Linked DNA regions of Drosophila melanogaster. The protein of the gene in region 1 interacts with the protein of each later gene in a pairwise test. Each region holds a gene or a part of one and is shown in the gene's direction. Other genes may lie near its edges.

Region 1 (4,639 bases):
TGCCCTTTGGCCTGTGACTGGAAGTCAGACTCATAGTCAGACGTGTATTCGTTTGCATTCTGAAAGACTTTATATGAATTTGATTCGATATCCTAGGCATCTAGTGGGCGGCCACATTAAATTCAATCGGTGTAGCACACAAGTGATTGAAACATGTGTAAATTTTACTGTCAATAGTCTCAGACAATTTTCGTAACGCGCCGCTAAAATGCCCGAAAAACCATCAGCAAAGTCGGCTCCGAGGCCCCTGACCAGCATAAAGGGGACCAGGCCCTCCACATCCTCATCCAATCCCACCACCAGCAGGAGCAAACCCACAGGAACTGGAGTGGTTCGACCACCATTGCCAAATGCACACGATAGGGTAAGATTTTTTAGATTTTTTGCAAATGAGAATATAATCGATGAATTAATCACTACATCCTAATGTTTGGATTCGATTCGACTAATTGAATTACAAACACCTATGCATGAGTAATTGAATCCCCTCTTTTCATTATACGTTATAAAAATGGTGGCAACTGAATAACAATAACAATATCTTTATGAATAATTGCTTTTTCAATAATGAGAAATGTACAGCTGTTTTTAACTCAGCTATTTCGATAACAAGAAAGTTGAATATATTAACTGTTGAAAATTTTACAGATTTGGAAGATTATGAAGATGTAATAATATCTAAAAATATTCGGTAAGTTATTAAAATTTGAATAACTGTTGACTTATGATTTTATGATTTCAGGTCCCCAAATTGGATCCACGTTTTAAATCCTGATATTCTTTTTTTATAAAATGTACGGATTCTTTGACGTCTAAAGCGCTGAATAAAGCGAATAAATCCCAAAAGGGAAATTACTCTTATAATTTCTTGATAAGCTGACTGGAAGTTGGAATAAGCGCAGGCGCTTGTCCTCGCAGAGAAGAGAGTAGTGTTTGAGCTTGTTGGGAAATTTTCTCTTTAAGGGGTACTTTTCATCTCAGTTTGCCTGAAGCTGGCTTTGAGTCTTAAAAAAATATTTAAGTCAATAAGAGTGTTAACTGGTATTATTTTTACTATAAGGGGCTTATTAAAAACGTCAAGAAACTTGTCCGCTGTCCTTTTTATGGATACTTAAGACGTACAAAAAGTTGCTGAATAACTTTAGATAAATAGGATGGTTTTAAAATGATTAGTGGGTTCATAGCTTGAAGAAGGATAGTTCTTGGTCACATTGGTACCAGCAAAGATAAAAAAACGTCAATAATACAAACATTTGATAAACATAATGGAGATATTTCATTCGTAAATAAAACTGTAACTCAACTTATGGACAGTTCTCTATTTAAAATCATCCTGCAGGACGAGAATGTAAAATTGCTTGGGATAGGCCTACCTTGGCAGTTCCTTAAATGCAATTTAAACCAAAACAAACTCAAGCTGCCGATACACTCTCTTCGCCGAGCTCGTGCCATTTTTACTTTCATTCGGTAATTGAGTGAAAACGAGGTTGGTCCTCCGAGGGACCTCTTCGCGCGACGAGCGCAAAAGTCCCCGAGATGGAATCGACCGAGCCAAAGGATATTTTGGTGCTCGGCAGCGTTTTTGCCAATGCCGTGGCTCAGTTTCGTATTCGTGTCGGAACGTGGCGCTACGGTCTTCTGCTCAACGATACGCGAAAATCCAATCCGCTGGAGGAGCAAAACGCGGCGCGTGGAACCCACAAAACAAGCAAGCAAGCCAAACGAAAAAGGAAGCTAAAGCACAACTCATTCGGTCGAGTGTGCCTGTGTGAGAGTGTGTGAGTGCCGGAATATCTGTGTGAGTGGATCGGTCCTGTGTTGTTTGGGCCATTTAATTTTATTAGCGCTCCGCGATGCGTCATTAAAATTGCAGGCAAAACACAGAAATACAATGAATGAAAAATTAAATATTAATTAAAATTTGCATACGAATCGAGCGGCGAGCGCTGCGATTCCGCTGATTGAAATGTTAAATAGATATTAAAAATTGATGGTGTATTTCGGTCACATTTCGTTCGTCGGTCATTCTGCCGGAAAAGTCAGACTGAGCCGTGGCCCCTACAATTCATACATATACACACATCCTTACAATTATGTGTATTGGCATCTTGGCCATCGGGAGTGCGTGTATATGACTTTATTAAACTTGTAAGTCCCCAACTCGCGCGACCTTTTGCACATTGTTTGTGGACTTTGCGAGTGCTCCAGATTTGCCAACCATTTGTTGGTGCACTTATCGCGATTGCCGCACGGATTGCTTCACCTGCAACCTGCAACCTGCCACCTGCACCTGCCACCAACATTCTGCACCCTGCCGCGTCCTCGAAAAGTGCGTATGGAACTGCAAGTTAATTAAGTATTTGACTCTGCATATGACAAATCCCGGTTTAAGCGAAAAGCGACTTTAATTCGCAATTCGAAACGGGTTTCGTTAATGTTTATCGTCTTGTTCTCGATTAAATCGGCTGTCGCGGGCGTAATATATTCATGGAATCCTTCTGCGTGCTGCACTTAATAGCATTTAACTGGCAATTAATTGCCTTGAGCTCAGCCACCCACTGGTCAAGGAATCGATGTATTTGTTTCGTCAGCAGAACACCAATACATTTTTAATGTGTTATTATGGACATTTTTCAATTAAAATTCCCAAGCGAATAGGGTTATTAGCAAAACAAATGAATACAAATATTTCCGAAGCCCATTATACAATGGGAAATTGAAGACAAAGTTAAAAATTATATACATTCGTTAAAGGCATTTCCCGTATTCCTTTTTGAATAAAATTCGCTCGAACAAAGGAAAACTTCTCAGTGCCAAATCAAAATAAAAATGATAAAGCATTGTGCAGATTTGTACCAGCATTTGACCGAAATTTATGGCCGCCTCCTGCACAAAGTGGTTTAAGCCAGTTAGCCCGGCCATGAAAGCTGCTTACAACAAGCCAAAGAGTACGCCAAAAACCGGGCTCAGATAGGCCCAAGGACAGACAATCGGCAAGTGGGCTTATTTGCAAGGGCCGGGCTAAGCATTTTGGCCAGACAGCCGGCATCTGCACTTACCTATCTGCGGCAGCAGCACGTTTTATAATATTTATGCATGTCCCTGCCAACAGGAGATGTGCACTCATAGTTAGGGGGTTGAGGGTTTCGAGAAGCAGGGGGATTTCCGTGCCAGGACTTTAGGGGTTCATGAGCTGAAAAATAAACTCGACGGGTAGCGTGGATCTGGAGTGTGTGTAGAGGCACTCTGACATTTGCCAAAAGTAACACTCCACTCTCAAGTGGGCCAGGACATCCAATGGGATGCATATCCGAGTGGTAGGCGCATCCGAGAATTACATTTAAAATTATTTTACTTGGCAGGGGCTAGGGCAAACAAACCAACACAAACACAAGCACATCAACAAATACAAATACAGATACAGGAAAAACAGAAGCCGGGCAACAGATGCCTCAACAACAAAATTAACGAAATAAAAACAAGCCAAGAAAAACAAAACAAGTGCAGCCAGAGAAACACGCACAATACGTTTTTTTTTAGTGGATGTGGAATGGAATTAACCCATTTAGAAACTCGCTTCCACATTCGGGGGCATTTTCCTTACTTTTTCTGTAAGCATTATTTGCAACCTTTATTTGTTTTGGAAAAATGTACCAAATTTTATATTTATTACATAGTGAATGCAAATGTTGCTACTAATTTATGAAAGCACAATGCAAATGGGTGTTCTAAGCCTTAAACAGTTCTAGATGGTCTATTAATTTTCAAATTTCCGTTATAATGGAATAATATTTGCTTAAATGATGGCGATAGGTTTTCCCAGATCCTGAGTAAATAACGGGTTAACTGCGAATGGCTGGCAGAAAGCCGAACGAACATCTCGACGCCCACTTGGCTGCTTGGTCGTTTACACAAGCTCAACATTTCTGACAGTGGCACTCGCAAAACGAGGAACATGTGGAGCAGCTGTGGAAAAAGATTGATTCTTCGCTGCTCGGGAACGCAGAAAAAAGGACCAAGTGCCTAAGCAACAGCGAGCCCCTGGGTCCTTGACTTTTCCTTTGAACTATTGCAGTGGCCGAGACCGTTTGTTTTGCTTATTCCCCATTTGTTGCTTGCTTACAGCTGTCCGAATTTATTACGGCCAAAACAAATCGGTAAACTTTCTATGCCGACTTGCAGCAACTTTCACGTACTGAGGCTTTCCCTGTGCACTTGCTCCTGCCTTCGCATTCGTGTTGGCCTTTTGTCATAAAGCTTAACACATAAAAATGTTATTGTCCGATGTGGAGTTGTGTGGCTTATGCTGATTTGTGTTGACCTAGTGAGCTTCCAAGGCAACGGAAGAGAATCGGGCTCAGAATCGGAATGAAGTATGGACGTTTTATGATCGTAAGGCTGATTTAGGATTCCCAAGTGAAAGCTTTAAGGACTAGAAGCAAAAGCGATGCGAGTAGGACGCCGAAAGGCGTTGCATATCCGGGCACCAATTATTGGAATGCTCGTAAAATTCCGGCTTACATAGAGAAAATGTAGGAAAATGTGTCTGGTATAGCTCTACCTACAAATTTAAAGTAACTTATTCCATTCGGTTGGGTTTATGGAATTTGATGAACCAGCTTTCAAAGAAGCCAGAAAA
Region 2 (4,769 bases), 9.4 Mb from region 1:
CCAGGTCGGCCACATGACCAGGAAACAGGTGCGCCTTCTGCATGGGTACGTGCACAAAGTAACGATCACAAAACTTGGGGTTCCGCCGAAGCAGGACCTCAGTCAGTATTGTGCCATAGTCGATCTTCTTGGTAATCAAAAGGCGCCGGCTCTCTCCACTCCCATAGCTAGCGGAACGCAAGCCAAATTGTCTGGCGATTCTGTAAAGGGAAATGCCAACATAATAAGCAATTATTTTTTACGATGTGGGATGACGGTGCTTACTGGTGAAGCGTGGTTCTTTCTTCCTTCGAAAACGTGGGCTCAAACTGCATGTCACGTATATCGTCCGATCTCACATAGTTTTCTATAAGCCGTCGGTAATCAGCGAAATTTCCCTTTGGATTTATTAATCCAAGACCATTACGATTGTTCTTTAGCAGATAACTGAAAATATAAAATAAAATAGTTTCGTTTGGTGATACGTTAAAAGTCGAACTCTTACCATACGGGCTCTTCACGTCCCTGCTTCAGTCGCCCTAAGCCACCGCCTGTCCAGCCCATCAGTCGCATCATGCGATATCCCTTGTTGCTGGGGTCCAATTTGGGATCGCACGGACTGTCGGCGGACTCATTGGTGACTTTGATGTTGACGCCGTCCTTGTTTTTTTCCACCTTGATGGTGTCGCGCGTGGCATTCAGCTGTGTAGCGTAGTACCGGGTTTAATAAGGCATACATTATTTCAGAAATTTCATACCTTAATACTATAGCAATAGGACTGGATCGTCAAATGCGCCTGCTTATAGGCAGCTTTCTTGGCCGCCTTAAGGCTCTCCCCCTGTCCTGTCGCTATTACCTCATCATTTACTAATAATTCGGCGTATTTTGTATTATCGCTTAATGGCTGATCTCGGCTGACACGCTCTTCGTACTTGACATTCGCAATGTTGCAGGAGTTTTGCAGGCAGGCTCGTCCCCCAGCCAAGTACACAATGAGCCGACCGAAACGCAGATCTTGATAGAGATCGACTGGATCTCCGCCGCCAAAACACTGGCGTTTTATGTGTGAGCTATCCTCTGGGGAGCTCGTCGAGGGAAGGGGTGGAGCCCGGCGCCCTAGTAGTTGGAATTAGGCATTAGGCTTTGGTCTCTCTGGCTCGTATAGTTACTAGTGATAAAAAGAATCTTCTCTCGCCTATGGGCCCACTAATTGTTCAGTCGTCTACCTTTGGCGCGCTGCTCCGCCGCATCCGACGCCGAGACAAATGTTCTCTTCAGGCGCTGTTCCCGTTTCTGACGGAAATCCGCTGCGATTTCCTTGGACAACTCGGCCACCAAAAGCATCGTCGCGCTTGGATACTTGCAGCCCATGAACTCCATGTTGACGAACGTTTGGGCCAGGCACACCAGCCGGTCCTCCTCAAAACGATCCTTGTGGGCCAGCATGAAGCTGCGTCGCAGATCCCAGTGCTCATCACTTTCGTATTCCGTCTTGTAGCTGTCTACATCCCAGTCCAAGGAAAATTCCCCGGATCCATAGCCGGCATCATCCTGTTTTTTAACTTTGACTTTCTTCTGCTTTGGCTTGGATTGTTGAACGGACATCTTTACAGGGAAAATAAATAGCGTTCAACTTGTCAAATAAAATGAGCACAGGCACGCTTGTTTTTTGATTGCTGCTTTCCCATTCACAGCGAATTATCAATTCGATTGGCCATGTGTTGCCCATTGGCTATCGATAACGCAGCGATAACGATAGGCCCCATCACGGCTATACTTTGTCGTGCGTGTGTGTTTTTAAGTTCCTGCCTTTTAATTCATGATTTTTTGGTAACTTAACAACAATTTGGAGAGCGACGCGACGCCCAAGAAGTCAGAAACGAATTGCCAAAGTGTCTCCACAGACGATTGCCCCAAAGTGAGAGATCGGATCAGCCCAAAGCAGCCAACATGAGCATACCCAACGAGTACATAGCGAAAACGGAGGATGTGGCGGAACAGGTAAGATATATTAGGTTCCACTGCCAAAAAGAAGTCCACCAGGACTCCATATCCACCGCAGGAAGCGTCTTCCCGATGCGCCCCAAATGGCGTTTGCGGGGAAGCCCTGGCAGCTGCAAACTGGGAAAACTGCCAACGTCACCCAAACGCGGCAAAGTTCGAGGGTCTTGGCTGCATATAATCACGATCCGCTGACATGGGGGCAACGTGCTGGGCATTTGCTTCCAATAAGAATCTGGGTGCAACCCAGATGATGGGTTTGCCTTGTACTCCAGTACCGCAATTGACAGTTGTTGCGTCTGCCGCAGGGAAAACTCTCTCTCTCGCTGCTTATTTTCTACCTGTGTGCTGATGCGTATGTGTCTGTGTGTGTGTGCGAGAGAGCTGTCTCCGCAAGTGAAAGTGTTGAAAAAGAAATAGCGGGCAGCTGGACGCCAGCGGCCAGGTCGAGTTCCGTAATAGTTGGGCTAGAAAGCCAGGTGAACTTGCTCGCGATTTACATACATACATGTATGAAGTTACATTGACAGCCGGGCCAAAACCCGTTAGCTGGCAGATAGCAATCGAGAGATACTAGCGTTTAGAGACACGTCACAGCCAGCGGGCGATTTCTAGCGACTACGCGCAAGCCACGCTCAACGGCATTGTATATTTAAATCCCTTATCACCTTGTCAGTAGTCCCCTTATCACCATATCAGCACCCATCCCAATTGCTCTCAACTCAACCAGAACCAATCGAACACTCATTTTTGCAGGTCATCAAGCGCGGCAAAAATGTGCTGCCCACAGTGGCCCGTTTGTGCCTCATCGCCACGTTCTTCGAGGACGGCCTGCGCATGTACATCCAATGGAACGAGCAGCGGGAGTACATGGACATGAGCTGGGGCTGCGGCAAGTTCCTGGCCACCGTCTTTGTGCTCGTCAACCTGTTGGGCCAACTGGGCGGCTGCGGCATGGTGATGGCCAGATTTAAGGTCGACATAGCGGTGGGACTGCTTTTCTTCATTGTGGTGTTGCAGGTGAGTCTGCATTTATATCAGCCAGAAGCAAAAGCCTTGACGTTAACCCGATCCTCTGTTTGCAGACCGTTGCCTACTCCATTCTGTGGGACTTCCAGTTCTTACTGCGAAACTTTGCACTCATCGGAGCCCTACTGCTCGTCCTGGCGGAAGCCAGGATAGAGGGGCGCAGCCTGTTTGCCGGCGTGCCATCGATGGGCGAAAACAAGCCCAAGAACTTCATGCAGCTGGCGGGCCGCATCCTGCTGGCCTTCATGTTCATCACTTTGATCCGCTTTGAGCTGAGCGTATGGCAAGTTATACAGGACATCATCGGCTCCATTCTGATGGTGCTGGTCGTGCTGGGATACAAGACGAAGCTGTCCGCCCTGATTCTGGTGGCTCTGCTTACGATCCTGAACCTGTACCACAATGCCTGGTGGACCATTCCGTCCTACAAGCCACTCAGGGATTTCTTGAAATACGACTTTTTCCAGGTTAGCAGGTTTACAATATCTTTCGCACGAATTTGTGTTATTTTTACGCATTCCCTTCGCAGACTCTCTCGGTGATCGGTGGCCTCCTCATGATCGTGTCCTTGGGCCCTGGCGGCGTTTCCATGGACGAGCACAAGAAGAAGTGGTAGAGGCCAGGCAACGGTCGCTCCTTGAACGAAACACTTTCAACATTTGACTTTTACCGTGTTTTACTCCTTCTGAGAAATGTTAGTTAGGAATTACCATAAAATGGGACAACAACAGGAGCAGCATCAGCAGCACAACACCGGCACGTATAAGAACTTGACAATTTTCAATAAAGGGACTTCCGCAATACCCCTCTCCAATGGCTCACTTATTGGGATCGCCCCAACCCAACTCCAAATCCATTCGCGCACATTCAACGACAAACTTCGACATTTTAAACATTTAGGACATTTTATTTTTGTACATAAAGAACAGGCAAGAAAAAAGTTTGGTCACTTTCGAGCCCACCCCAAATGAGAGACATAACTGATTTTATATCTATGCTTGTCAATATCCATGTTTTTTGCCGATTTTTTTATATGATTTGTACACTCTTATAAATAAGTTGTAACCTTGGTGTTTGCCTTTTGTTGATTGCTAGAAGTTTGAATATGAAAACGATGTATAAAATATGATGTACCAATTGACAATGATTTGTTTCTTTCGTTTATAAGCAAAAGTGTAATAGAATTAAATTGTAACGTTTTAATAAACATAAAGATGAAAAACCGAGACTTGTGCATTTTAAACTTGGCGCCAATTGGCCGATAAATGGTTAATGCTTTTGTTTGTTTACCAGCACTAAGGCACAGCTGACTCGCAACGTCAACAAAGAGGGAAATGCCCATTCTTCGACTACTGGGTACCCCGTACTAAGTTAGCTGCTAGTGAATCCTGCATAACTAACAATAAATAACTTTATTGCAAAAATAAGAGCATAAACCTTATACAAGTAGTACGATTAAATTTTGTAAATAGACACAAAATATAATGATAAAAAAAATGATTAGGCACCGTTTTGAATGGTAATGTTAGTGAATTAACTAAATATAAAACAATATATTGAAAAGCCCTGACCTCTCCAACAAGGCAGTGAAATGTCAACGGCCTCACTTTTTTTTAAAAACTTGAAATCAAATCTGAAAATAGGGATGAGTACATTTGATTAATTTCCAAAAATTGTTGCAATCAGTTCAAATCAATTGCAATACACAATGCACACAAGTAACTTATAGGGGCGGAAGTGTTTTCTGCAGCTGGCGACA

What was found. Proteins that work in one complex are often made in the same cells at the same time.
Region 2: the proteins of side-III (region 1) and Surf4 interact in a two-hybrid assay, tested with the Drosophila melanogaster proteins (one large-scale study listed by BioGRID).

Annotation. Positions count from the first base shown.
Region 1 is NT_033777.3:5,956,515-5,961,153, reverse strand, and holds the start of side-III (sidestep III), read left to right. Parts: upstream 1-1,598; 5' UTR 1,599-2,329; intron 2,330-4,639. Other genes in the region: CG11373 (uncharacterized protein), read left to right, coding at 209-364, 649-672.
Region 2 is NT_033777.3:15,343,121-15,347,889, reverse strand, and holds Surf4 (surfeit 4), read left to right. Parts: upstream 1-1,713; 5' UTR 1,714-1,930; coding exon 1,931-1,981; intron 1,982-2,737; coding exon 2,738-3,001; intron 3,002-3,066; coding exon 3,067-3,477; intron 3,478-3,539; coding exon 3,540-3,626; 3' UTR 3,627-4,237; downstream 4,238-4,769. Other genes in the region: CG31301 (uncharacterized protein), read right to left, coding at 1-200, 265-426, 485-681, 738-1,096, 1,207-1,585. UniProt on the Drosophila melanogaster protein: Endoplasmic reticulum cargo receptor that mediates the export of lipoproteins by recruiting cargos into COPII vesicles to facilitate their secretion.